Lonchura striata: one gene and its partners. The protein of the gene in region 3 purifies or fractionates together with the protein of the main gene of each other region. This does not show direct contact. Links are inferred from orthologs where the notes say so. Each region holds a gene or a part of one and is shown on either strand. Other genes may lie near its edges.

Evidence for each region.
Region 1: the proteins of SNW1 (region 3) and BAG2 purify together in Homo sapiens (affinity purification with mass spectrometry; 3 studies listed by BioGRID and IntAct, with this or other methods). This does not show direct contact. The link is inferred for Lonchura striata from reciprocal best matches to the Homo sapiens genes SNW1 and BAG2.
Region 2: the proteins of SNW1 (region 3) and EEF1A1 purify together in Homo sapiens (affinity purification with mass spectrometry; 3 studies listed by BioGRID and IntAct, with this or other methods). This does not show direct contact. The link is inferred for Lonchura striata from reciprocal best matches to the Homo sapiens genes SNW1 and EEF1A1.
Region 4: the proteins of SNW1 (region 3) and CCNT1 purify together in Homo sapiens (affinity purification with western blotting; 3 studies listed by BioGRID and IntAct, with this or other methods). This does not show direct contact. The link is inferred for Lonchura striata from reciprocal best matches to the Homo sapiens genes SNW1 and CCNT1.

What each region holds. Positions count from the first base shown.
Region 1 is NC_134605.1:89,198,156-89,205,047, reverse strand, and holds the start of BAG2 (BAG family molecular chaperone regulator 2), read left to right. Parts: upstream 1-3,890; 5' UTR 3,891-3,983; coding exon 3,984-4,147; intron 4,148-6,892. UniProt on the Homo sapiens protein: Co-chaperone for HSP70 and HSC70 chaperone proteins. Acts as a nucleotide-exchange factor (NEF) promoting the release of ADP from the HSP70 and HSC70 proteins thereby triggering client/substrate protein release.
Region 2 is NC_134605.1:83,911,800-83,919,333, reverse strand, and holds the start of EEF1A1 (elongation factor 1-alpha 1), read right to left. Parts: upstream 3,003-7,534; 5' UTR 2,884-3,002; intron 2,179-2,883; 5' UTR 2,132-2,178; coding exon 1,988-2,131; intron 1,155-1,987; coding exon 975-1,154; intron 839-974; coding exon 542-838; intron 286-541; coding exon 135-285; intron 1-134. UniProt on the Homo sapiens protein: Translation elongation factor that catalyzes the GTP-dependent binding of aminoacyl-tRNA (aa-tRNA) to the A-site of ribosomes during the elongation phase of protein synthesis.
Region 3 is NC_134608.1:21,873,485-21,880,630, reverse strand, and holds the start of SNW1 (SNW domain-containing protein 1), read right to left. Parts: upstream 3,019-7,146; 5' UTR 2,947-3,018; coding exon 2,933-2,946; intron 1,929-2,932; coding exon 1,775-1,928; intron 1-1,774. UniProt on the Homo sapiens protein: Involved in pre-mRNA splicing as component of the spliceosome. As a component of the minor spliceosome, involved in the splicing of U12-type introns in pre-mRNAs.
Region 4 is NC_134629.1:6,118,340-6,125,570, forward strand, and holds the start of CCNT1 (cyclin-T1), read left to right. Parts: upstream 1-4,225; 5' UTR 4,226-4,235; coding exon 4,236-4,411; intron 4,412-5,441; coding exon 5,442-5,523; intron 5,524-5,771; coding exon 5,772-5,900; intron 5,901-6,668; coding exon 6,669-6,729; intron 6,730-7,231. Other genes in the region: ADCY6 (adenylate cyclase type 6), read left to right, coding at 165-294, 809-1,072, 1,748-1,952, 2,470-2,594, 2,682-2,810. UniProt on the Homo sapiens protein: Regulatory subunit of the cyclin-dependent kinase pair (CDK9/cyclin-T1) complex, also called positive transcription elongation factor B (P-TEFb), which facilitates the transition from abortive to productive elongation by phosphorylating the CTD (C-terminal domain) of the large subunit of RNA polymerase II (RNA Pol II).

The DNA of each region.
Region 1 (6,892 bases), on a different chromosome or scaffold from region 3:
CATCTGCAGCTGTACAGAATGCACTGCCTCATTTAATCGTCGACTGCTCAAGTGAGAATGAATTGCTGCATGCCCCAAAATGGTCATAGCAGCTCTCAGATTGCCCCTGAGACAGAGGACTTAATTCAGACTTCTAACCAGCCTGGGACCTCAGGGCTTGCCTACACAGTAAAAACTGCAGCATGTAGAGGCAAACCCAGGCTAGTTTTAATAGCATTGGTAAGAGCAGCAGTAGAGACACAGCAGCACAGGTTCAGCAGGTGTGAAGTGAGGGGGCAGCCTACTGTGATAGCAGATGTGTTTTGATGGAAAACAGCCTGAAAAGTCAGGTTGGCCCATCTTTATTGCTATTGTTGCAGTGCCGGAGAGGCTGCAGGCTGGTTTTGGTTGGCTGGCCTGAGCCATGGATGCATCCTTCAGCCATGTCTGGGAACTGCTGCTTCCAGCAGAATACCTGCTCACAAGGAAGGTTCTTAACCACCAAATTGTTTGGGTTGGAAGAAACCTTAAAATCATCTAGTTCCAGCCTGCTGTGGAGAGGGACACCTCCCAGTAGACCAGTTTGGTCAGAGCCTCTTTCATCCTGGCCTTGAACACTTTCAGGAATGAAGCATCCACAGCTTCTCTGGACAACCTGTTCCCGTGCCTCGCCACCCTCACAGAAGAGAATTTCATCCTAGTATCTAACGTAAACTTCCCCTCTTTCAGCTTGAAAATACTAAATTCCTGTAGATGAAGACAGGAAAATAATCCTGCATGGCATTTCTTGGGTGTGGACTTTCTCTTTGATCCTCTTCCATGACAGCTCATGTGTAAGTATTAGGGTATGTGACAAGGCATATACCAGGATTTGAAATAAGGCAAAGCTGGAACTAAGGTGCTGTTTAGTAGTGTTACAGTTTGCAGTGCTTTTGGTGTAGGTCATCTCCCTCGCTCTGGGACTTTTACATCAGATGTCTGAGACCTGGAAAAGTTGCTCTTTCTGCTGTCTCAAGGGACTTTGTGCATGTGAATGAGACTTCTGTTCATTGCTCTATTTTGTAATCAGCACCCATTCTTTACAATGCTGTAGTTTAAACAAGAGACAGCCAATGTTTTCACTGTTGTGATGGGAATGCAGGAACAATGGGATACCCACTCTCTTCTTATGTTTTTGCTGGTGCCCATAGTGAGAGCAGGTCTGTGCAGTCCTTCACATGACCACAGATGTGCAGACATGGGAGGAGACAGGGATGTAGCATGGCTTCACCAGCAGCCCTGAACATGCTTCACCAGTGATGGCAAGGAGGAGAATTAAATCCTACCTTTTGTCCTTAAAATTCCTCCAACTCAGCTGTGAATCACATTCCTTCCTGCAGGGATGCACTCCAATCTTTCTAGACCAACCAGTTATTATTTTGGAAAATTGATGCCAATTGTCCCTTTACATACCTCAGCAAAAATAGAGGGGGTGGGGGCAACTTACTCTAGAGAGCAGGAAAAGCTGTTTTCAAGGTCCTTCCAAGCCTCTGAAAGGGAAAATATCCCAGTTTTTACAGGCAGTAATTTCAAGACTTGTCCTGGAAGACTATTTTTACTTTTAAATTTGCATTTTGTTTCCAAAGTTTTGCTATTCCTCCTTCTTGTGTAATGTCCTTTTGTTGTTAAAGAGGGTAAGTAACGTGTGATACATTTGGACACTTAGAGCTGTTCTGCGCCTCTGATTCAGCTGTTGTGACTTCTACCTGTGTGGAATTAAACCCCTACTTACGTGTGGAGGAAAAAAGTGTTCAGAGCTGCTCAGCTACTTTGATTTCTGCTTTTTAAACCCAATCTAATTGAAGCTTAATAAATTGGCATGGGATGAATAGAAGGATCCTAGGAAATAAATGGTAGCAAACTATGTGTCATGGCTACAAATGGGTTCTGTTTGGGGTGGGAAATGGTTTTTAATTATCTTCTATAGAGACTGTAGAGAGATGGATGGAACAATTGTTCAAATGAAGCTATTTCCATGAGCTCACAGGCAACGAGCCTTGCTTATCCAACCATGTAAAACAAAGAAAACTCAGGCAATTAATTTAACGAGAGTACTCAGGACATGATATCATTCTGAATGGATGAGCCTGAGAAAACAGCTATTTTGAATCACAGCAGGATAAGCATACAAAACAGTGTCCCTGTGCAACAAAATCCCCCTTAGCTGGGTGCCAAGAATTGGTCTGTTAGAGCCATGGGGTATTTGCCCAAACCTCGTCTTTTGGGATAAGCAAATTCCTTTTTAAATACTCACAGTAGTGGTAACTAAAACTTATGTGTGACTTGAATTGCTGGTGCTTGTGAGAAAGAAGGAACCGTTTCATACAGGCAAATTAAATACGTTCCTGGGACAAGTCATTACTAGATGTAGATCAACTACCTTGGCTACCATTAAATAGATATATCTTTTCTCTCTGGCATAGAAAGAGAATACAAACCACTTTTATTTCCAGTAAGCTTTTTTTTGTAGAATCTTACAATAACAGCTGGTGAAACAGCTGCTTTTCTGCAAGTAGTAGGGGGCTCTTGCAGTTGGCAGGAGAAAGATGCACTATAAGTAGCAGTATAGCAGTATCCAAAATACCTTTTTTTTTTTGTTGTTGTTGTTTTTTTTTTAGGAATTTTGTTTAGGTTCTGCTTGCACTAAGGGCTGTCTCTGGTTTGACTTCTCTCTCATGTCAAGCTTCTGGATTTTTAAAGCCCTTTATTTTTCCTCCTCCCTTTTTTTGCACTTTCCACTGTTTTCAGTTTTGTAGTTTACTGTTTAATTAGCCTTAAATAAAAATAACCTTTGGGTAGTTGTGGGTTTCTTGTTTTCTTTAATGAAAGAGCAAACCAATGAACCAGCCACACAGACCAGTTCTGGAACACAAAGCCTCATACCAATAGCTCCCATCTCCCTCACAAAGCTAATACAGATATCGAAAGCATCACTTTTCCTCCCTTCCCGGCTGGTCCAGGTTTTGTTGCTTTTGCCACAAAGGGGAGTGGAGACTGGAGCAGGACAGCCCAGGCCTGTGCCCCAGGCGGTGCCAGCGAGGAGCAGGGCAGCAGAGGCTGCCGTGTGTCGGCCAGGGGCCGGAGCGCTGCGCGGCAGGTGCGGTGACACTGCGGTGACACTGCAGTAACCCTGCGGTGATACTGCGGTGACCGTGCGGTGACCCTGCGGTGACACCGCAGTAACCCTGCGGTGACACTGCGGTGACCCTGCGGTGACACTGCGGTGACCCTGCGGTGACCCTGCGGTGCCGGGCACTGCCGGGCACTGCCGGGCACGCTCGGCTGCGCGGCCTCAGCCCCGGGCGCGGCCCCGCCGGCCCCGTGGCTGTGTGCGAGGGGGCAGAGGCGGGAGACAGGGAGCTCCTGGGGCAGCGAACCCAGCCAGGGGGCTGGAGAATCTCTCGTGCCAGGAATGCCCGAGGGAGCTGGGTCTGTTCAGCCTCGAGAAGGGGTGACTGAGAGGGGCCCTCATCAATGTGACTGCGTACCCAAAGGACGGGTGTCAAGAAGACGGAGCAGCCTCTTCTCCGTGGTGCCAAGTGATAGGACAAGAGACGTGGGCAGAAACTGATGCACGGGAAGGGAAGTTCCACCTGAATAGGAACAACTTGTTTACTGTCGAGGCGATCGAGCAGCACAGATTGCCCAGAGAGGTTGTGGAGTGTCCCTCGCTCGAGAGGGGGCAGGGGCCGGCCCGGCTGACCCAGCGCGGTCCCTCCAGCCCGGCCCGCCCGGCGGTTCCGCTGCCCCGGGGCGGGGCGGGGCGGGGCGGGGCGGCCCCGCCGCGCTGCGTGAGGCGCTGCCCGCGGGCCCGGCGCGGGGGCGGGGTGGCCGCGGGGCCGGCGGCGGGGCGGCTCCTTCTTTGGCCATGAGCGAGGTGCCGGCATTCGGCCGCCGCCGCCGCCTGCGGGACGCGGGGAGGGAGCGGCCGCGGCGAGGCTCCGCCGGCGGCAGCGGCGGGTGGGATGGCCCAGGCCCGGATCAGCGCCAAGGCCAGCGAGGGGGCGCCGCAGCAGCCGCAGCCGCAGCAGCAGTCGGGCGGGCAGCTCCGGGGCCGCTTCTACCGCTCCACCTCCATGGCCGACCGCTCCAGCCGCCTGCTCGAGAACCTGGACCAGCTGGAGCTCAGGTGGGGCCCGGCCGGGCGCTGGGGGGCCGGGAGCCGCTGGCCCTCCCCCGGCTGGGGGGCGGTGCGAGGCTTCTGGAGGGGACCCGGGGGAAAAGGCTCTCCTTCATGGGGGACAAAGTTTAAAAATGGGAGCTACTGCTCAAAGGTGAGTTAGCGTGGCCTGGCAATACACGAAAATAGGAATAGCTATAAGAATGTATGAAAGTGGACGTTTTTCAGAGAAAGCGCGAAGGGCTGTTTGGGATTTGTTAACCCTTCAGGGCGCGGGGAGCCTTTAGACGGGGCTGCGCTCTGGAGCTGTGACACGGCGGGGACGAGCCCGCGCTGCATCCTGACTGCCGTCCCACCCTGTCCCCCTGTCCCGCACCTGCGGGCAGGTGTTTTATAGGGAGATGCAGGAAATCCGAGGATAAAACATGGTGTCATTCAGGCTCTCGGAGACTTTGGCAAGCCTTTAAGCTGCAGTGCTGTATGCTGGCGTGTGAGGCTTCTTGTCTTCCAAACCTCCCTTCGCACTTACTGGTTCAGCTGTGGATGTTCTTGTAGTGTTTGTGTCTGCCTCCTCTCTGAGGTGTATTAAAAAGTGTCACTATAAAATGTGAACAGCATTGCATTCTGCAGCTGAGGCGTGTTTTTCCAAAGTTATTGTAAATACTATGTGAATTTCATAATTGTGCCAAGACACGTCCTAACTTTTTCTGCTACTTGACGTTCCCTAAATAATACCATTTTACTTTTTTCCCAGTTTGGCTTCATGAGAGATGATACCTTGCCTTTAATCATCTTCCCTGTCCTCTCAGCTCTGCTAAATTACATAGTGTCCTTTCTGAGGTGGATGGATGTGCAGAATGCCACTGATTCACCTCCTCTGGTACTGTTTCAACACACCCTTTCCTTCATTACAGCTGCATATTGATCAGCAGCTTTCATAGAGCCACCCAGAATGTTTCTAGGACTTTCCTGTAATTAAAAGAGCTCTGTGGGATGCAGGAGTTTTATTTCCCCTTTCTGCCTGCATTACTTTGCATTATTCAGGAGTGGACTCGATGTGCTGTTATATTAGCCTTTCACTTAGCTTGATTAAATCTCCTTGAAGTCCTTTGCAGACTTCTCTGAATTTGACTAAACAAAATCACTGTCTGCAAACAAGTCTCACTGCTTACATCCAGGTCTAGGCGTATGATGAATATATAATCAAAAAATTAGCATGAGAATATGCAAAAATGTGTTTTAGATTTGCTGAGTGACTCTGAAACAAAGCAGACAGTTTGGTTAGCCAGCAATTAAACCCTCAATTAAACTTCCCAGTTTGCTGTGGTTCTTTCAGACAGCCATAATTCTAAATGTGGAATAGTAATGAGAAAAAAAAAAAAGTCTAATTTGATAAAAGTCACTCAAGTCTTACAGTTTTTTCCTATTCACAACTAATCAACATGCTTCATTTCAAATTTATTTGAATGACAGGAGGAAAAACTTCCAAACTTTCTCCTTTTCCAGCTTGTTTGGTTTTGCTATAGACCCTCAAGATGTTGCTTGTTAATACAACCAGTGAAAATTTGTCAAACTGAACTACAGCCTTTAATTAAAACCCTCAACAATCCTCAGTTCTCAAGTTGCTTAAGGTCAGCTGAACTCTGAAGCAAGCCTCATCCCTCTGGAAGTCACAGGATCACAGAATGGTTTGGGTTAGGAGGGACCTTAAAGGTCCCCTAGTTCCAACCTCCTGACATGGGCAGGGGCACCTTTCAGTAGACCAGGTGGCTCAAAGCCACATCCGGCCTGGCTTTCAACACCTCCAAGTGTCCACAACCTCTCTGGGAAACCTGTTCCAGTGTCTCACCATCCTCATAGTGAAGAATTTCTTCCTAATACCTAATCTAAGTCTACCTTCCTTCAGTTTAAAGGCATTGTAAACTGCTCCAGTTTGAACAGCCTTCCTTTTCCTCCCTTTCTTTCCACTGTGAGAGCTCATTTTCCAACAGTAATGGGGTATTTTTGTACCTCCCTGATAGGTGTTTGCTGAGTGCATTTCTTCTGTATGGAAAGTGAGCAGGGAAGGGGAGTTAATTTGGGAGGGAGTGCCCGAGGCAGAGGTGGTGAGCCGGGCAGGTGGCACGTTTGCCCCTTGTAAGGGCTTGGACCTTCGTGTGGCTGTGACTGCCAAGATATCTCAGGAGCAGCTGGAAGCCAGACCAGAAGCTCTGTTTATGAGTCACTGCGTTCTGTTGGTTGTGTAAAGTGAAAACACAGTTTTAGGTGTGATGATACACGAGGTAAGTAAGATTCTTACTGGGTATTTTTTATCTTCATTTTTTGTACTTCTTGTCTTGTTGTTTGGATCAACCCTGTTCCGCCACCATTCATTTCAGTGTTCACAGGACGGCTTACCTGGGAGTGGACACTCAGCTGAAGAAGCTGAGGATGCCAGGATGAAACCCCCTGTTTTGTCTTCTTCCAGTGTGCCTGATTAGCTCTATTTCAGGAAAAAAAGCTGCTCCATTCTCGGATGTTTCTTATTTCCTTTGAAAGCTTATCTGGACCTCCAGCACGTGGGTTTTAATAGTGGGCTGTTTAAGTCAGTCATTAGTTTAAAGGACACAGTTATTGCAGCTGTCCTAAGAAAGCAGGTGTCAAGTTTCTCATCTGGAAACAAAAGCACAGCCTGGTCCACCTGTTTCTCAGGGGAATGCTCTGCTCATGTAAATGGTATGTAGCAAAAAAAGGCATTGCTCAGATAATTGCTCA
Region 2 (7,534 bases), on a different chromosome or scaffold from region 3:
ATTATTTATTATTCAGCTTAGTAAATATATGCCCTTATGGGGAAAAAACCCCACTCGAGACAAGAATTCTAATTTTTGACTTGGAAAAGAGCTGCTGCTGCTGGCACGTGAGCAGCATTCCAGAGAACACATACCACCAATTTTGTAGACATCCTGAAGAGGCAGACGCAGAGGTTTGTCAGTTGGACGAGTTGGTGGCAGGATGCAGTCCAGGGCTTCAAGGAGGGTGGTTCCACTGGCACTGCCATCCTTACGGGTGATCTTCCATCCCTTGAACCAGGGCATCTGTAATGCAAACAAACCCAGGTTAATCCGACTGCCAAATTTAATGGTGCCAAGCCTGAAAAAGCCCAAGCAGCATCCCTTAGCATCATTTCAATTTACTGCTGCAGAGTAAGAACTTTTGTAACTGCTAAGATTTATCTTGAACTTTAGCACTTCCCAAACATAACTATTACAAAATGTGCGTTTTATCATTGCATAATTGGACTTAACAGTCTTCCTAGTTTCATGCCTTAACAGAAATAAATGTCAAACCTACGTTAGAGCTAGGCTCCAGCATGTTGTCACCATTCCAACCAGAAATTGGCACAAAAGCCACAGTGTCTGGGTTGTAGCCAATCTTCTTGATGTAGGTGCTGACTTCTTTGACAATCTCTTCATATCTCTTCTGGCTGTAGGGTGGCTCAGTGGAATCCATCTTGTTGACACCAACAATCAGCTGTTTTACACCCAGGGTGTAGGCCAGAAGGGCATGCTCACGGGTCTGCCCATTCTTGGAAATACCAGCCTCAAACTCACCAACACCAGCAGCAACAATCAGGACAGCACAATCAGCCTTTGAAAAAAAAAAAAAAAGAAAAAACAACCTCACTATAATGCTTGCGTGTATGCCAAAGTAATACAGGAACCGCCCCCTAAGCAACCAAGGAACAACGTTCCAGAACCCCCCAAATCGTACTTTCTTTACATACCTGAGAAGTTCCAGTAATCATGTTTTTAATGAAGTCTCTGTGTCCAGGAGCATCAATGATGGTGACGTAGTATTTGCTTGTTTCAAATTTCCACAGAGAAATATCAATAGTAATACCACGCTCACGTTCAGCCTTCAGCTTGTCCAAGACCCAGGCATATTTGAAGGAACCTTTGCCCATCTACAGTCAGAAAAAAACCCATTTTTATTACCATTAAAAAGAAGGGGTTTTGTATCTGCAACTAGTTCAGAAAGATCACACTGACTGAAGAGCAAAATCTATTAATAGTAACTGGCTTAACACTGAAAAACGCTGCTGCTCATAAAAACAGCAACAAGATACGCTTAGCACTACTGGTGAGAGATGCCAACTGTTGAATCTTATTGAACTTGCTGACAGTTCAGACTCCTTGGCAGCTTGTTAATTTCACTAAAGCATCTTTATGATAGAGCTCTTGAGCCTGAGTCCTACTATCAGGTATCTTCTACAATTTTAAGTCCTCCTACTACTTCAATCCTTGCAATAATCAACACCTTAATTTCCACTCTGATAAACATTTGTCAAATTTTATTCTATGTTCTTATGACCTGTGCTGTTATTACACAGAAAAAGAACAGTATCAGTAAAACTCCCAGATTTTTAAATTAAGACTTTTATCAACTATCCTTCTATGTAGTTTGTATCTGGCCATTTAACCTGATTCGAGATGTTACTATTCAGATGTAGCTTTAGACTACCTTCTCTTGACTTGCTTTACACTTCACAACCTGAGTTTCTGCAATTAACACAAGGGCAGATGGAACACTTACAACACTTGTTCTACCTCGGGGACAACTGCAACGCAGCTGCCGCCCTGTGGCCACGCAACACTGACCCACTTGTTCAGCTCTTGGGGCAGAGGCAACCGAACCGCCTCCCCGTGGCCACTGAAGGCTTTGCAGGTTCACTTTTCAATTAAGGGGCTAGTCATTCCTGCAGCCCAGAATTTTGCTGGCTGCTATGCGCCCACCCACCTCAGCCGCTTCCTTCTCGAACTTCTCGATGGTCCTCTTGTCGATGCCCCCACATTTGTAGATGAGGTGGCCGGTGGTGGTGGACTTGCCAGAATCGACGTGGCCGATGACGACGATGTTGATGTGGGTCTTCTCCTTTCCCATTTTGGATGTTAGCTGAGTTCTTTCTTTCGGCAAAAGAGAATCGACACCTGCAGGTTCCCGAGAAGAAGCTGGTTACGCCTCGGGCCGGGCCTCGGGGCAGCGATGGCGGAGCCGCACGCGGGCGGCCGGGCCGGGATGGCGGCCCCGCCCCGCCGGGGGAGGGGAGGAGCGAGGCGGGCGGGCCGCGGCCCCTCGGAGCGCCCCTCGCGTCGCCCCCTCCCCGGGCTCGAGTTACCCCGGCGGCGGCGGGGGCGCGGGGCGGCGGCGAGCGGGCCCGGCGGGCAGCCGGAGGGCGGGGCCGCCCCGCTCCTTTGTGTGACTCACCCCGCCCGGGCCGCCGCGTCCTCCATTTTGTGGCGCTGGCGGCGGGCGGCGAGGCGAGCGGCCATTTTTGCACTCGTGCCCCGGCCCCCTCCCGCCGGCGGCCCCGCCGCCCCGCCCGGCACGGCCCCGCGCCGCCGCCCGCGGGGCGCAAGGGGAGGCTGCCGGGCGCCTCCTGCCCCACGCCCGCCCGGGCACGCCGCTCCGCCGCCCTCAGCGCGGACAACGGGGGTGTGCACATGGTAATCGAGCAGAACGATGCGCCGCCATCCCTCCGCCCCGCGCTCCCTTGCCCGCCCGTCCGCCTCGGTTCCCGCCGGCACCCCCGGCCCCTCCCTCCCCTCGGCCCCCTGCACGCCCCGGCCCAGCGCTCGCCGGGCCTCCGGGGCGAGCGGACCCCGGCCCGGCCCGGCCCGGCGGACGCGCCTCACCTGCTCGGCGACGGCGGCAAACCCGGAGCGAAAAAGACCGACGGCGTGAGCTCCGCCCCTTATATAGCCTGCCGGGGGGCGGGGTCTCGGGACACGTCACCGCTCCCGGCGGCCCCGCGGCCCCGCCCGGGCACGGAGCGGCCCGCCCCCGCCGGGCCCGAGCGGGACCCCGGCCCGGCCCGAGCGGGACCCGGGCCCGAGCGGGACCCGCCCGGCCCGAGCGGGACCCCGGCCCCGAGCGGGACCCGGGCCCGGCGCTGTGCCGAGGGCTCCGCCGGGAAGGGAGCCGTGTCCCTGTGGCGCTGGGATGGAGCGCGGGCGGGATGCCGCCTGCCCGGAAGGAAGCGGGGCAGCACCGAGCAGCCCCGGCCCCTGCAGGGCCCAGCGCTCGGGCCCGGGCTACGGCCGCGTCAGGCCGGGCCCGAGGGACGAAAGTCCCTGGGGAGCAGCCCCGGCGAGTTAATTGTATTTCGCATTGGGGGCACAAAGGAACGCAATCAGCGAGATTAGAAATTCAGTGAGTTACCCTGACCGGCAAGTAACAAATGCCGGCTGAACATCGCGAAACTCCCCCTACCCCCGTACGTTGCAAGTCTCGCAGAATCAAACGTGGAGAAGGAGGGGAAGAGCAGGAATTTCTGGAAGCTTATCACACCGGAATAAGAAGCCATCGTTTGGCTTAAAAAAAAATGAAAAATATTTTTCTGGTTTTGTTTTACCGTTAGAGGACGAAAGTTGACTCGTCTTAGGAAACTTCGGCACAAAAAATACAAATCAAGGCAGACGCACTATCAGTAAAGATGCGTCTGAAGTGCAAATGGATCAGTCACGGAAGTATTCAGGACAGGGGTTCTCTGTGCAAGAAACCCTGACTGCAGAAACTGCCCCCATACTGTATTTTCACATGGGAAAACCGGCAGCCCTGGCAAATTATTTTTAGAATCGTGGCAATGAGGAGTCACAAAACAGCTCACAACATCAGAAATAAAGGCCCTCGTGATTCCAGTAGATTTTTTTTTTCTGGTTTAGTCGCCTGTAACTGATATAAGAAAAATCATTAAATATTCAACATCTCCTATACCCATCCAAGAGAAATTAAAATGAATAGCTGAACTGTCTCTGTTATTTTTAAATTATCTGCAAAGCTATGTAGTCCATCTTCTTATTCAGCTACATTATATGCCTGTCAGAAATAGTTACTTATCTATAGACAACTATCATCCATTTCTTGTTATGCTCTTCAGGGTGCAGTTGTATAGCATGGAAACAGCTTCTTGTTCAAAAACAAACAAAAAAGAAAACATCAGCAAACTAATAAAAAAACTACCTCATGCATCTACAAATGTACCCTTCCACTTAACTTCAAGTTTCTCTGAGATAAACCCAGCATCAAATTCATTAGAGAGCACTAAACTTGGATATCATGCTTTGATATGGAAGTGTTTCCATAAGATAAGGTATTTTTCCCACATGAAAAATTAAAAAGATGCATTTTGTAAAAAAAAACAAAACAACAAAATGTCATTAGAGAGCATGCTGAGTTTAGAGTACACCTTTTACAAAAACAAGCATTTCAGATAATAAAAGTGTTCAATATCTGAAAAAGGGTTCAGATATTAAACACTTTTTTTTTAAGAAAGGAAAAAAACAAATTCTCTCTCACCCCTTCTTATGTTTTTCAGCAGAGATTAGTAGTAGTGGGGGAGGGAATATAGAAATGGTGCAGCTTTCCTCAAAATTAACCTTCAGGGCCAGTTACTAGTGAAGACACCGCATATGAAGACATAGGAAAAGAGCAGGAAAAGGAAGGTGATCTGCTTTCTGGAAATGGAAGTGCATTCTTGTGAGTGGCTTGGTTTGAAGACCAAAATATAATATTTAGCAAGAAAGCTAGGAAACAGTTTTTTAGGGTCTTCTATAAAGCAAAGACTGTAAACACAGTTAAAAAGCTTTATTCTTCAATATGGTTTGAAGTTACCTTCTCAAATGTGTATTTCAGTGGGGGAGGGGGGGTGTTTTTAATGGACTGATCTGTCAAAGAAACCATTTTCATAAAAAGGTAGTTTTAACACTTCCCAAATGCAGTCAATTATTTGTGCCTGAACAGGAACATGAGGAAGGAAATATGTTACTAAATTCTTATATGGTCCATACTAAACTGCATATTTCTAATTTTTTTAAAGCTACTGTTCTTAGAAGATAATTTCATAAAGGCTCTTAGAATCAGGTGTTTCTTAAGGAAGTAATTTCAGGTATTTCTTCTCTAAGGCAGTATCTATATAGCTGAAAAGCTATGAAAGCTGAATTTGTGGTACAAATTTTTAAACATAGTCCTAGTTTAAATCTACAGCAGTTATTTTCCCCCTCCACTTCTTTAAATGAGTTTTCAAAATAATTCTATTATTTCCTCTTTAGTTTGACCAATACATGTTTTTATTCTCTCAACAATTAGTGTATCTTTTCTTGCCCACTCCATTAGAAGAACATTCCTATTATCAATCTCAAAAATATTTATACAGCTGGGGACCTTCTGATATATGAGTAGCCTCAGACAATACAGTGGAAATGCATTCTGAAGAATCCTCTCAGCTAACACAAATAGCCCTACACTGGACTAAATCCTGTTTGCAACAGCCTATAAAAATTTTAGATTGTATTAATTTGGTAAAACTAATCACTTTAATATGTAACATTTAGGAAGGAACAAAGATAAGACATTTCAAGAAGTCAAGGATATTTAGCCATTTAAATAGGGCTTATTCAATACTGACATCAGAACTAGGAGGACATTCTCCTTTGATCACTGGTGAGCATATGCTAAACTGAAATATCCTATGTTTACATATGTCTCCAGTGTAAGAACACAGAGAATGCTCTAAAGCATGTGTATTGAAGGAAACCACCATTTTAAAAGGGTTTTGAATCTCAGGTCACATGATATTAAAATAAAAGTCTAAGCCAAAAAAATCTAGGCCAAAAGTTTCAGCTTTAAAAAGTATATGTCATCTGGATTTTGAGTTCATAGTAGCTACTGAAGCATTACTTCCATTTAGCATGTGGCTCCAGCACATACAGAATGGGCTGTAAGCTTAGAACATATTCACAGCCAGTGAAATCATGCTAGGAGATAAAAGATGTGCTCACTGAGCATCTCTAAAGAATTTCAATTCTACCATATGCACATGGGTATTTTTTTTGGTCAGATTCCTGTGCAAAGATGCAGGTAAGTTAGGCTTATACAACCATTTTAATTGCAATGACCAAAGTCATTCAGGAGTATGAGCAAACAGACTTTTTATGTGCAAGACTTGAAGCAGATCTGATAAATTGAGTATATCAAGCTCACTATATATGAAAGAGGCACTAAGATTTCTTGAGGGCACTTTCAGGAAGTGGTGGAAAAGCAGTCCAAAGTTACCAATAGTAGTAATTGGTGATCAGCAAAACTGGATTCTAATACACAGCACCATTCTGTTATACAGTTAGCCTCATACTTACTGTGAAAGGTTTTCTAATCCCTATATTATAATTATCCTGGTACGTACATTTGTCCAAAGTTCAATATAAACTATAGCGTGAGCATACAGCCTTACTTCCATCTATAAGTGTTCTTTAATGCATTGATTCCTAACAGCAATAAAAAGCACCTACACCTGTTACAAAACCCTTTTTCATACATGATCTTAATACTTACAACCAGTTTTTACAATCATCTGCTTATGAAATAAGAGAACAATAGAATAATGGTGTTATTCATATATGAAAAGAGTAGACAGAAAACCTGCCTAAAGAAAAGGTTTAACTGAACAGGGTGAGGTGATCTATACTAATAGAAAAACACTATTTTTGAAAATTACTTAGCTCTGTACAAGTAGCTGGCATTTTTATATAAACAAAATTGCTTGTTAAAAGAAAGAGACAACAGTAAATACAGTTTAAGTTATTGTCTTAGTAGACAGTATAAATTAAACTCTTCCATCCTTGGAAGTTTAAGACTTGGACTAATTAAAGTCATCTTGTCTGATCTCATAGCTGACCTTGCTTATAGATTCACAAAAGAAGGTCTTACAGTAGGAGGTATAACACAGTGGACTTCAAAACTCTTGCGAGTATCACTGGGATGAACACGCAGTGACAATTGCAGAGTCTTCTGAATAGCTTAACAAGAGCCTCTTTAAAAGTCATTGTTGCTCATGAAAGAAGTTTCCTCTAGGAAGCACTGCCATTATAGTTACAGCATTTATAACAGGTGATGGAGTACTGGCTTGGAGGATAGCCTGCTTTAAAAAAAAAAAAAAATCCTTTGGACAGTCTTTTCAAACCACATTATCCACAGCACGAGAAAGCTCATTTATATTGAAGGTTTAGTACTGGCTGAACTGTGATACCGAAGGTTTGGGATCAGGCAGAGTGGTCAGATCATGCTGGGATGTGACCAGAACTAGCAGCTGTATTTAAACCCCATGTGCTGTTCTGTGGAGTTCTGCAGAGTTCTGCATTTGTGAGCTAGAAAATGAAAGTATTTGATGTAGAACAGAGGTGTCCTAAGGAGGAAATAACTGCACAGGTGGCTGCTTTGGTAACAGTGTTCTGGAACCAAACAGCAAATGAGCAGATACATGCAGATAATAGCTTAAACAAAAAGTGACCC
Region 3 (7,146 bases):
CATTTAATAAACAGATAACTAAAAGACTTCTTAAACCAGATCACCCTGTCTCAGTACCACAGAGGATGCAGTGGTACCATTCATAAAACAACTTCAGGCTGCAGTTTCAAATGGAACACTTTGGAGGAAGCATTTGCTTAAAGCAGCATGAGCATCTATCCTTTCTCTGTTGCAATGGCATGGCTAACAACAAAACATATTAAAAAATAAAAATGGGTGCCTTGAGTACATCAATCTTCCTCCATGCTCACCATGTGACCAAGTAGTTACCACCACTAGGACGGAGTGGGCTGAGACTGAAAATGACCAAGCAGAACACTTCCAAACACGGACAGTGTGCTTATCCCATCTGCAAATGCTCCTTTAAACAGTTTCCGCTATCGGAAGTTTTCCACTGGATGTCCCACATTCAACAATTAGTTGTTAAAGTATTAGCCAGAACTAAATTCAGTCATTCTTCAATTTTTTAAATTTTTCTTTCTGCAACTCTTAACGTAAAAAGAACAGCAATGGCAGTCCAGGAGCACTGGACAAAGGTTATGCTTTGAAAGCATTAACTGCAATTTGCACCTGTTTATGAAGCGGAAAGGAGCCCTTAACAGGCTTTTTGAGATGTGCATTAATTTGTGGCCAAGTGGTGTTGGAAAGTCTTTGCAAACCTTCAGCATCTGGCTTCTTAAAATATTTCTTTATTAACATTAAGAAAGAATAAGCACTAAAATACTAGCTTTAGTACTCAACAGTGTAGGAAGGGAAACCTTCACTGGGTATAATGGAAGTATAATTTTTGACATCATACATATGCAGCATATGATGAAATGCTGAACTTGCAGAAGAACGTTTTCTTTCCGTGAACCACTGGAACTACTGTTTGAAGTACATGGACCACCACAGAACAGTGTTGGATTTATAAAAATGGCACTCAAACATAAATGAGAGCAACATTATTACAAGTTGATGAAATTATGGTATTTGGAAACAACATAGGATCATACATAAACTACTGTAATAAAACTTCAACAGCTTGCTTGTTCCAAGAGCATTGGCTTGTGACTCATCAGAACAGGTCTCAGAAGTTATTGTCAAGGATCACTTCAAACTGCAAGGTTTTTCTGGCTCACAGTGAGAGACTGTACTAAAACTGTTTTATAATCAGAATACATCTGTATTTTTATTCTACCTTTAGCAGTTCCAGTTTAGATTACATTAAACTGGCAAGGGTTACAACTACTAACACACAACATTGTCCAAAATCTTTTAGCCAATAACATACTTAAACAACAAATATTTGGTTATTTTTTTATTTTCCTTCCAACTGTAATAATTTTGTCCCCCAATAGCAGGTATCTTTTTGAACAGAACACACACACAGAACATCTTGTCTCTGATACACACACATTCACTTATTTCAGCTATAATCCAGAATGTGTATTTAACACTAACAGAGAAACAATATGGATGTTTTTCTCAGGGAAACCTTGTGTTCACAGACTGTAAATCCAAAGGGCTACAGATGTATTTCTACATTCCAACACAACAATCTCTGAACAGAAGTAGACATAGACCATCCTGTTTACCATCAAATGCTTTAAGGAATCCAGTAGATTAGAACCTCTCCCAACACAAAGGTTTATCAAGCAGTATGGATAATGCACATTGTAAGGCTTTGCACAATTCTCAGCAACATTCAAGGTGCTCAGAGCTTATTTCTACTCCAGAATTTTTTTCTCCCTTTTAGCAGACACATTACTACTGTATCAATTTAAATATTTACCTCTAGTGCACGAGGTATCCATCCTTTCCGGTAACCATAGGGGGGGGGTTCCCTTCTCGAGGAGACCAGAGCAGCCTGCCTGGATCTCTGAGCTCTTGCTCTTTCTTCTAGTTCTAGCTGATCTTGGGACAGCTGGGTTGGAGCTGGCAAAAAACTGGACACCCATGGACAGCAACCAAAAGAGAATTACATAGAAAGTTAATTCTGGTAACTTCACTCACAGGCACTCAACTATGCTTGACTGAACTTCTTGCTAAGTTAATACTTTCTCGACAAGCACTCTATAGATTAAGAAACAATTTATGAAACTTGAGCATTGCACTCATAAATGTGAGGGCAACTTCTAAGATTCAGTAACTTCGGAGATTACAGTTGCAATGTGTGCTTTCTCAGCATTCTGAAAGATTCCTACAAAAACAAATGCTAAATTCACACGCATTCACATCTTTCTTGAATAGAAGAGTGGCAATGCCCATTTTCCAACAGGAATCCCACATATCACCGGTATTCTTTACACTACTAGGAATAAGAAAGAAATATTATGTTCCTGTGTCTCTAGTCCCAGTGATTCGTTCTTCCTTTCTCTCAAGGCAAACATCCACAGAGATCTGACAAAGACCTCTCTCCTCTACCCCTGACACCTCCCTGCCAAGGGCAAGTCGAACCCCAATTTCTTCACTTCCCCTTTTTTATCTCTTCTTGTCTACACAGCCCTTTTGTGCATTTACTAAGAAAGTATCCAAAGAAACTTGGGATTCCGGTGCAGCCACCGGAACTGCACTCCCATGCCCTGCGAGACACTACAGATCGCAACAAAGACCGCTCGCCCTCTCCGACGGTGAAGAAACCTCGACAAAACCCCACGGACCCAACCGAAGCGGAGGAGCTCCTTCTACCCGCAGTGAACAGGCGAAAGAAGCAGCGCCCTGACCACGGCCAAACCCCCAGGGCTCCCCCGGCCCGACCGGCCCTCGCCGCACTCTCTGCGGCCGCGGCCCGGCCGGCGGGCCCCCTGCCCAGGAGAGGCTGCGGCCCCCCCGCGCACTCCCTAGCCGCGGCCGCTCCCGTCGGCGGAGCCCCGCAGCGCGGCGGCGAATCCCCGGCCCGGCCGGGGGAGCCGCAGCGCCCTCACGGCCCGGGCGGGCCCGCCCGACCCACCTGGTGAGCGCCATCTTGACCGCGCAGGCCGTCCGCCCGGCAGCCGAGGAGCGGGGAGACAGCGACACCTGCACATGCGCAGTGCCCGCAGCGTACCCTGGGAGTTGTAGTCTTCGTGAGGCCACTCGCGGCGCGGTGGCGCATGCGGTAGGCCGCAAGGCGTCCTGGGAGGTGTAGTTTTGCGGTATCCCAGTTTATTTCTTCAGCCGTCCTATTCCGCTCCCCCGCACTATTCACACAGTCTCCAAGTTCAGTAACTTCACAGTTCATCCAGCTGAATATGTCCAAGTAAAAAGTAGAAAATATAGAGCAAGTGGATCAGGATAAAATTTATTCTGATATACCTGCTGCTTAGAAATCGTTGAACTGGGACATGGGAGTGAAGGAAAGAAAAGAGACTGAAAGTGGTGTAAAAATATTGATTGAAAAGAGAAGAATTTCTGCATTAAAAAGGAGTTGTGCTGTCTTTGTTAAATGAGCATACATAACATAGGAGTTCTTTAAATCAAATCAAGAGATACACTCTTTAGAGTACAATTAAAATTTGGAATATGGAACAATATTTCTCAGGGAGTTGTAATACATGGGAACTAAGTGGAGCTTTACATAGGAAAATCTGTTTTCCTATGTAAAGCTATAAACTATTTGAGTTAAAGTGGCAATATATAGCACTATATATAACTGAAGATTACTAATTAAGTTGCTATTGTTATATCACCTCTAGTGAATCAAAGGCAGAAGAGTCCCACTGAGCCAGGCGTTGGTTCATCTAGAAGAGAAATGGAAGCCAGACAGGGAAGAAAAGGGTAGAATGACTAAAGAAACAAACATGGTCTATCAGAGATTTTAAAAATCACACCATAGGAGGCAGGAATACAATAAGACAGAGTAACTGTCTTGCAGTCCTCTAGTCATTTTGTCTGCCCTATCATCTCCTAATCTGAAGGGTGAACTACTCCTTCAGGATAAATTAATCTGCTACAACTTTTAGGACTGGGAAGATTTGGAGGAAGGTAAGGGCAATCCTGTGCAGTCTCTCTATGCCTGAACTCATCAGCTCCAGTGGGAATCAGCTTTTGGCTTAACACTGTGGTAACAGCAGCTCTGTCAGCACCTCTATGAGTGACAGATACTTGCCCTTCTCTCTGAGATTGCTGGTGTCTTATGAGCAATTCATACAAAGGTAAAGATACAAGACTTTGTCACCCAACATTTATCAATTATTTTCCTGAGCAAAACTCATCTGTCATCCCTTCTACCCAATTCTGTCACTCATTTAATAACAGTATTGCTGTTGTCATATCTGGCAATATTGCCACCTGATTCAGGAGGCTGCTTTCCCCCATAGAAAAGGGGGCCCTTAGAAGCTGTCAAACCCTCTGTGCTCAGCTGTTATACTAGTCTGAGTGAAAAAATGATGTTTTATCCCTCCTATTTTGACATTTCTCCTTCTTTCTTTGCTGTGGAGTATTATTTAATGCGGTATGGGGGGAATGTATCACCACACTATGACTGCTATCTTCTGCTTATGATGATGCTTTGATTAAAGAATTAGCACTGTGCAACACTTGAAGAGGTGTGCCACTGGGGTTGGGAAGTGGCTGGCATTTCAAAGTAAAAAGGAATCAACAGGAATCAATGTTGCATAAGGTATTTCTGAGGAAGTTCCAGAGGAAGGCACACACTATGATTTATGCTAGTCACCATTTTCATCAGCTTGCTGTCAATATGAAATTGCTATTCATAAAGTGTATGTTTCAAAATGAGTGGCAAAATATTCAGGGATACTGGGAGGAGAGTAATACAATGTGAGCTAGATGACTTGGTAAGTACAGCTCATTTAAATGAGCTGTGTTCCAACATCCCATTGTGCAAACTCATATATCTGTAAGCAAAAAATGTGGGGTTAAATACAGGCTGTGCTGGGAACCAGTGGCCCTGAAAAGGACCCATGAGGGTTATGAGAGACAAGGAGCTTAGGACAAATTTATTGTGCTATGAAGTAACAAAAAGTCTCATGCAGGCCATGGATGTGGAAGAAGGGATATAGTGAACTCTAGAGGGACTCTTGTCCTGGTCTTCAAGTTTAAAACAATTCTGGAAGGTAGAAGAGGGTTAAAAGACTACAAAGGTAAGATAAGGCTATCATTAGTTGGAAGTGTAGGGGAAATACAATAAGTTGATTTGTTTTGTGGTGAAGTTTAAGAGGTAAATGTTACTATTGCCAGATTAGAATGAGGTTAACTCCATTTATCTGCTCTTCGACATTTAGTATATTTTGTTCATTAGAAGAAATTGAGAGGCGATTTGTACAAATTAGAAATGCAAGATATTAAGCCACTCCTTAATCTCATAGAGGAAAGCAATGCTATTACAAGTAGTGGAAGTGGAAATTAGGGAAATTCAAATGAGAAATTAAGTTGAAATATTTAACAATGAGAGTGTTTAACCTTTGAAAAACTGTGGGAGGTGCTCACTTTTCTATCCCTTATCCTCTTGTAATCAAAGCTGAAATCTTCTGGGAAGAGATAGTTTCATTATTACCAGACCTGCTTTGGGCAAGCCTGAGCAGCCAGGGCCCATACAGGAACAGTCAGAAGTGGTCACAGCACCAAACCTGAGTTCAAGAAGCATCAGGACAATGCTCTCAGGCACGTGGTGTGATTCTTGGGGTGTCCTGTGTAGGGCCAGGTGTTTGACTCAATGATTCTTGTGTGTCCCTACCAACTTAACTTATTCTGTGCTCCTCACAAAAGAAACATTAGGCAAGGAATGGTTCTAAGAATCTGAAATGTATCTTCCCCAAATATAAATCTCTCTCTAAGACAAAAAGGATTAATTCCTTTCTGTTTTCATCAGGATATTTTGGACAATATCTTTCTGCACAATAGTGATATCAAGTTTCCATATGCATCTCTATTCACAAAATGATCATGCCAAAATGATCCTCGGTAGAATGAATAAGGAGTTCAGGCTCTGTAGAGGTCTTGGCATGGTTCGGAGCAGAGACATTTTTATTTTGATGAGAATATCACAGCTGGTTTTAAGAACATATTTCTGATGCATTCTGAGAAATCTTTTGGGGTAGGTTTAGGCTATTAAATCCTCTGCACCTTTTTTATCTAATTCAGCACTTTTCACATTTGCAAATCCAGAATTAAATAGTTCATGAAATATCTTGTAACAAATGAAGATGATGATACAAAGTAATGGAATAAGCTATTGTTAATATCAGATATCTGTATGCCTACCAGTTGCTGCACATACTCGGATAAAAATGATCAAAATAAACAACACTTCTTAACTCAAGAGGTAAATTCTGGACAGGTAAGATGCTAAACAATGAAATAGAAGAGACTTAATTTGATGGAAAGGTTCAACCACATCAGCAACCCCTGTACTTCACATTCCCTTAGGCATTACAGGCAGCATTCAGAAGGAATAATTATACCTGGGAAAAGAAGATCAGAAGGTTTATTAGTGGCTTTGTAAAAAAATCTTTACATTCTTCAAGCCATGTCTATGTCCTCTGGAGCGACTGAAATGAAGGCTGGTTTAATTTCTGTTATTTGTTGCATATTGTAGAAAAGTATACTTTCTCAGGCAAAAATGTTCTCATGTACCTCTGTAAAAACCACAGACTCTGGGGGTGTTTTGCAAAGGTCTTGGAGCATTTCACACAGGACATGTTGGTCACTGACACTTCCCAACAACCTGCAAGAAGTGGAGTGTCCTTTAGGCACCAACAGCTTTAGCAAATAAAGTAAGGGGAAATTCCTTTGCCAACAGAAATTATGAGAGAGAAGTATGGAGGTGGCATGCAATTGTCTAAACTGATTCCACACAACAAGGTTGAGCAGAGGCCTTGAAGGAACAAAATACTGGTAGAAGTGGATTTTGCTGCTTGTGTAAAGCCCTGCTCTCCAAGGAGCACATCAGTTTCCATTGTCACATTCAGACTTTGGTGACTACTGAGTCACAGGGGCTGAAGGACCTTGGGCTATGGGCATGCTTTTGTCAAGACATGTTTTATTAAATAATGGCTCTGAACAGTACGATTGGTAAGAAGAGGCTATTTTAAAATTTTATGGCTTCCAGAATCAGCTCTGAACTTTCTATTGCTAATATAAAGGCGAAACCTGCCAATATCCATTTAAGTTGGACCAAAAATTAAAAAAAACCCCAAAACCAAACCAAACAAACAAAAAGCCATA
Region 4 (7,231 bases), on a different chromosome or scaffold from region 3:
CGTTTGAGGATCCCCTGGGTGGGTGAATGGAAATTTTGGGGTCTGAGTGCAGATTTGGTGTCCATGGAATGGGTGGATCTTTGGGGTCTGGGTGGTGTTTGGGATCTCTGGGTGGGCAGGGACGGGTCCTTCAGCCCACCTCAGGGGTCCTGGGGGTCCTGCAGCCCGGCAGAGGGGAAGGTGGCCCTGCGCTACGTGACCCCCGTGGTCCTGGCCGTGTTTGCGCTCGCCCTGTACCTGCATGCGCAGCAGGTCGAGTCCACCGCCCGCCTCGACTTCCTTTGGAAGCTCCAGGTATGACCAAGTTGTGGTGGGCTGGGAACGACCCTCTTCCTGCCTCCTGAGACTGGGACTGACCCCCTCCCTGCACCCCAGGACTGGGGTGATAATGGGCCTTCCCATACTCAGACAAGATTGACTCCCCTCCCTGAACCGTTGTGGTTCTGGGACTGATCCTACTCCCTGGGATTGGGGTGACCATGGGATGGGAACTGTCTCTTCCCCTACTCCCTGGGATTAGGATGGCTGTGGGGCTGGAACCAAGCCCTTCCTTCCATCCTGAGACCAAAACTGACCCTTCCCTGCCCCCCAGAACTGGGGCAGTCATGGGACAGGGACCAGTCCAGGGCCAGGACCAACCCCGTCCCCACACCCTGACTTGAAGGTGGCCACAGGGCTGGGAGCAACCCTTTCCTTGCATGCCAGCACTGGGGTGACCATGGGGCTGGGACCAACCCCCACCCCACACTGTGCTGCTGGGGCAGCTGTGGGGTCCTGTGGCAGCTCCCAGCTGGGTGTGTGCCCACAGGCAACGGGTGAGAAAGAGGAGATGGAGGAGCTCCAGGCCTACAACCGGCGGCTGCTGCACAACATCCTGCCCAAGGACGTGGCCGCGCACTTTCTGGCACGGGAGCGGCGCAACGACGAACTCTACTACCAGTCCTGCGAGTGCGTGGCCGTCATGTTCGCCTCCATCAGCAACTTCTCTGAGTTCTATGTGGAGCTGGAAGCCAACAACGAGGGTGTGGAGTGTCTGCGGCTGCTCAACGAGATCATCGCCGACTTCGATGAGGTGCTGGGGCAGAGAAGGGGCAAGGGGGTGCATAGGGGTGAAGTGCACAGGGGTGGGGTGCAGTGGGCAGGGTTCGTGTGGTGCTGGAGAGGCTGTGGGGCAGCAGGGATGAGGCTGTGGTCCAGGGAATGTGGTCACAGGGTGCTGGAAAGGCAGTGGAGCAGTGGGGATGAGGTACAGGATGTATGTCATCCTTGGAGAAGGCATGGAGCAGCTTTCATGGAGCCACAGGAATGGATGCAGAGGCTGTAGAGCACTGTGGATAGAGTGCACAAGGATGAAGTACAGGAAGATGGGGTGTTGGAGAGGCTGTGCAACAGCAGATTTGGGGAAAGGGTGCAGGAGATGGAGTGCATGGGGTGCAGGAGAGGCTGTGGAGCACCATGAATGAGGTGCAGATGGGATGCACAAGATATAGAGAGCCTGCAGAGCACCATATTTGGACAGGGCGCAGGAGATGGTGTGCAGGGGGTGCTGGAGGGGCTGTGGAGCACCATGGAGGAGGCAGGGGATGTCATGGGGTGCTGGAGAGGCTGTGGAGCAGCATTTGTGGAGCCGCAGTGCAGGGTGCAGGAGGTGCTGGAAAACCCACGGAACAGCATTCACGGAGCCATGGGACGGGGTTGGGGTACCCTGTTGAGGTGCTGCGGGGGTGAGCCCAGCCTGTCCTCCCAGATCATCAGCGAGCAGAAGTACCGGCAGCTGGAGAAGATCAAGACCATTGGCAGCACCTACATGGCGGCATCGGGGCTCAACGCGGCCACCTACGACCGCGAGGGCCGGAGCCACATCGCGGCACTGGCCGACTACGCCATGCACCTCATGGAGCAGATGAAGTACATCAACGAGCACTCCTTCAACAACTTCCAGATGAAGATTGGTGAGCCCTTGCACACCCCTTGCACACGCCCCTCTGCACCTCCAGCCATCCCACACTGTTGTTCATGGCTTTGTGCTGGCGGCTCTTGCACCCCTTTTTTCCTCTCTCCCAATCACCTCTTCTTTTTCTCTTTCATACCCCATTTTCCTCTCTCACACCCCTTTTCTTTTTGCACCCCCTTTTCTCCCCTCCTGTCCTTTTTCCCCTCTTGTACCCCCTGTTCCCTCCCTCACCCCATCTTCCCCTCTCACCTGCCCTTTCCCCTCACCCCTCCTTCCAATCTCTCCCTCCTTTTCCAATTTCACCCACCACCCCTTCTTTTGCCCCCCTCACCTCTCTTTCACCCTTTTCCCCTCTCATCTCCCCTTTCCCCATCACCTCCTCTTTTCCCCCTCCACATTCCTCTTTTCCATGTCACTCTCTCCTTTTCCAAACTCACCCCCTCACTCCTCTTTTCCCCTTCCCTCTTCCCCAAGTGTGGGGGGTTCATCCCTGACTCTCAACCATGTACCCCCAGGCCTGAACATGGGCCCAGTGGTCGCAGGGGTCATCGGGGCTCGCAAGCCCCAGTACGACATTTGGGGCAACACCGTCAACGTCTCGAGCCGCATGGACAGCACTGGGGTCCCCGACCGCATCCAGGTGAGTCAGGGGTGGGAGGGACACAGGACACCTGCCCAGAGACCCCCCCTCCAGGTCTCCCCCTTTACCCCTGTGTCCCCCCTCCAGGTGACAACAGACTTGTACCAGGTGCTGGCTGCCAAGGGCTACGTGTTGGAGTGCCGGGGGCTGGTCAAGGTCAAGGGCAAGGGGGAGATGACCACCTACTTCCTCAATGCGGGCCCTGGGGGTAGTTAGGGGGGTCCCCATGGTGTCCCCCCCATGCCGGGGACACCCCCAGCCTGTGCCGAGCTCAGGCGAAAAAAAAAAGGAAAAATCCCCAAATACACATATTTAAAAAAAAAAAGGGAGAAATGGACACAAGGAGGTGGTTGGGGGGCGTGGGGAAGTAACCCTGTGCCCCCCTCTGTGGCTGTTTTAGGGGGTGTTTCCCAGCCCTGCACCGGGGTGTTTTTTGTGGGTGGGGGTCACGGTAACCCCCATCCCTTTGCAGAAACCCCACATGTGCCAAAGAGGGGAGATGGGGCCCCCCAGAAAAGGGACTGCGGGGGTTTTGGGGGCAGGGGGTCCCCAGCCCCCTCCATGTGCCAAATTGAAGTGCCGCCTGCGGGGGTGGGGAGGCGCAGGCCCAGCATCTCCGCAGCCCCCTCACCCCCCGGGGGTCCCAGCTCCCTCCGGGGGGACTGTGGCGGGGAGGGGGGGGAGGGTGGAAGACCCTCCCCCTTTTAAATGCAAAAAAAAAAAAAAACCCTAATGAAGTGACTTTTTTTCTTTTTTTTTTTTTTTTTTTTGAAGCAGTTTTGGGGTTGGGGGGGGGGCTCAGCCCGGGGGGAGTGGGGGGAGCACTCGCCCCCTCATCCCAGCACAGACCTGAGGTACTTTGTCCTTCGTGTGTACAGATAAATTATATATAAAACACTTTGGATACGAGCTGTGGCCTGGCTTGTGGGGCAGGGGGGCACACGGGGCTGCCGGTTGGGAGGGGGCCCGGGATCCTAAGAGGGGAAAACACCGAGACCCAGTGAGGAGGGGTCCCGGTGGGCGACACAGCGGAGTCCCGGTGGGGAGGGGAGGGTCCCGGCAAGGGAAAGAGGGTGGAAAATCGGTTGAGGGGGGAGTACAGGCAACGTCTTGGGGTGCGGGGGGCTGCGGGACCCCGGGAAAACCGGATCTTGGAGGGGTGGGGGGATCCCGCTGCTCCGTGATCCCGGGGGAGTGGCGGGGGTGGGGGGGACATACCGGAGGGGTCCATTGAGGTGCCGGTGAGGAGGGTGGAGTGCCACACCGGTATGCCGGGGTTCCTCGGGTGTCAGTGCGTAGAAGAGGGAGCCGAGGAGCTGGCGGTGGGGCCACAGGGGCCGCCCTAAGGTGCGGGGGCGTTGCGGGACCCCCCGAAAAACCGGAGCCCCTCACGGCGTGAGGGGAAGCGCGGCGGGGCGGGGCGGGGCCAGCCGTGAGGGGCGTGACCATTCCGCGAGGGGCGTGGTCAACCAATGAGGGGCGTGGGCTCTCTCAGGCCCCGCCCCTCCAACGTCCCTCCCTGCTTTGGAACGCTCGCGCCGCCAACGGCTCCCCCCCGCGCCCGCCCACCCGCCGCTTGACGTCATCGCGTCGCCGCGCTGCGTGCGCACGCCGCGTCCCCCGCGCGGGCGCAGAGCCGCCATGGAGGCCTCGGCGGGCGGCGGCGGCGGCGCCGGGCCCGGGCGGCGCTGGTACTTCAGCCGCGAGCAGCTGGAGCGGAGCCCATCCCGCCGCGCCGGCCTCGACCCCGACAAGGAGCTCTCGTACCGGCAGCAGGCGGCCAACCTGCTGCAAGACATGGGGCAGCGCCTCAACGTGTATCCGGCCCGCGCTAGGCCGCGCTAGGCCGCGGGTGGGAGCGGGGCGGGGCGGGGAGAGACGGGAGGGAGTGAGGGAGAGCCGGGAGGGGGTGAGGGGAGAACCGGGAGTGGGAAGAGCCGGGAGGGAGTGAGGGAGAGCCGGGAGGGGGTGAGGAGAGACCCGGGAGTGGAGGGAGCCGGGAGGGGGTGAGGGGAGGGCCGGGTCTTGTGAGGATCGAGGAGAGCGCGGCCCCGGCTCGGGGAGATCGCTGCTGGGGTGTCGGGAAGGCCCGGCCCGGCTCTCGGGGCGGGGAAAAGCCGCTTTTCCCGTTTTTGGCTCGGGAAATGGCGTTTCGGGCGCAGGGAAAGCTGTGCTGGCGTGTTGGAGAGGCTCGGGCAGGCCTGGCCGGCCCGGGAGAGGGGAGAGCTGTGCCGGGGTGCTTGGAAGGGAGCGGCAGGCCCGTCCGGGTGAGCCGTGCCCGCGTTGGGATCGAGGAGATTCTGGGAGCGGGGAGAGTCGAGCCCGTTTCGAGGTGGTGGAGATCCCGTTTCACGGGCAGGGAAAGCTGTGCTGGTGAGTCGGGAAGCCCCGGCCTAGGAGTGGGGAGAGCCTAGCCTCTTTTAGGATTGAGGAAATCCCAAAACGAGGGAGTGGGAAAAGCTGTGCTGGGGTGTTGTGAATGCTCGTCCCACAAGTGGCCAGGAAAGCCGAGCCTGTTTTAGGACCAAGGAGATCCCAAAAAGGATTTTGGGACCAAGGAGAGCCGTGCCAGGTTGTCAGGAAGGCTCGTCTGGGGAGCAGGGAGAGCAGAGCCTGTTTGGGGTCGAGGAGATCCCATTTTGGGAGCAGCGAGAGCTCTCCTGGCATGTTGTGAAGGCTCAGCTGGGTTGTGGAGCGCGGTGAGCCTGTTTTGGGCTTGAGGAGAGCTGTGCTGGGGTGCAGGGAGGGCCTGTCCTGTCCTGGTGCTGTTGGCATGTGGGGTCTGTCCCAGTGGCTCCCCTGGGCCTGTCTGGGGGTCTCTGTGCCTTTCCTTAACCCCGTTCCCAGCTCCCAGCTCACCATCAACACAGCCATCGTGTACATGCACCGCTTCTACATGGTGCAGTCCTTCACCCAGTTCCACAGGAATGTAAGTGCTGGGATTTGGGGTGCGGTGGGGTGCTGGGAACCCCCAGACCCACTCCTGCTGCTGCCTGGGAGGGGGACCCACCTTGGGAAGAGGTTTGGGAAGGGAGAGGGACCCTTTTGTCTCTCCTGGTGGTGGCCAGATTTGAACAGCCTTCATTCCCTGAAGGAATATTGAGAATCCACCTGGTTTGTTTGTTTTAATCTTGAATTTAGTGGCTTTTTAAGCAAACAGAGTGTTTTCCTCCACAGTCGGTGGTGCCAGCAGCGCTTTTCCTGGCAGCCAAGGTGGAAGAGCAGCCTCGGAAGCTGGAGCACGTCATCAAGGTGGCACATGCCTGTCTGCACCCCCAGGAGCCTCTGCTGGACACCAAGAGTGAGGTAAATGTGGGGAGGGAGCCTCAGGGTGTGCTGTAAGCGCTGGAGGCCCGAGGAGCAGGAATGGCACCTGGGATCCACCCTCCCGGGGTGCTCAGGGGCAGCTTCTCCATCCAGCTTCTCCTGCAGCAGAGAGATTTGGGCTTCCCCCCTTGTGTGCAAAGCCTCTTCTCTGCTGCACACCTGGATGCAGATGTGCTGTTTGCCTGTGTCCCTGGAGCACTGCCCAGGAGGGTGTGGAGCAGAGGAGCTCCACTGTGGGAGCAGTTTGTCCCAGCATCTGTCTCAGTGGGTTAAAAACGTTGCTGAGCCCTCATCTCTTCAGACAGCCCCTTTTACTTGCAGCTGAGCAGCGAGTCCTGCTGGAAGGGGCAGCTTTTTCCAGGGAATCCTACAGAAAATTAAAAAACAGCAGGAAAAGCGGGTGATTCCTGCACTGCTCGTGTGCTACCCTAGGAGTGTGGGGGACCAGCACCCAGGGCCCACCCAAACACTCTGATCCCTCTGTCTTAGAATCTCCAGATGGTTTGGGTTGGAAGGACCTTAAATCCCATCCCATTCCACCCACCTGCCACGGGCAGGGTCATTTTCCACTCGCCCAGCTTGCTCTGAGCTCCATCCAGCCTGGCCTCAAACATTTCCAGGGAATCTGTGCCAGTCCCCCCGTGCAGGGAGATTCCCATTTTTGCCCTGGAGAGAAGGGTGTTAGGAATGTGCAGGCTTGATCCGAGTGCCTCTCCATGAGTAACCTGCCTGTCCTCTCAACCCCAGGCTTACCTGCAACAAGCCCAAGACCTGGTCATTCTAGAGAGCATAATCCTACAGACCCTGGGTAAGTTCCTCGAAGCGGCCGGACTGCCACACCAATCCCAGAGCCAGGAGAATTCCACAGGCTGGAGAGCCTCACCCCTTCCACAGAGTCCACACAGCAAACCCCGTTTTTCAGCTCGACTCCTGTTTTAACATCAATTTTTCAGGTGTAACTTGTGCCAGGCTCAGTGCTGAGAGATTTAAGTGTGGTTTGTCACTTTGATTTTTTTTTTTCCCCTAAAAAAACCAGGATTTGTGCTGCTTTGGACACTGGCCCTTGTCCTGGGTTGTGCTTTCCAGCTCAATCATAGAATCATGGAATGGTTTGGGTTTGAAGGGACTTTAAAGACCATCCAGTTCCAGGCCATAATGCTCCAGTTCTGTTGCAGGAAGCAGTTTGTACTGAGAGATGTCTTAAAAAATTGGGTTAGAAGTGAATATTTTGATCAAATAATTCATTGGGGGAAAGTCCCCAGAACTCAAGAAACCAGGAGCATTTTCTGGGTGTTTCTGGAAGTAGGAGT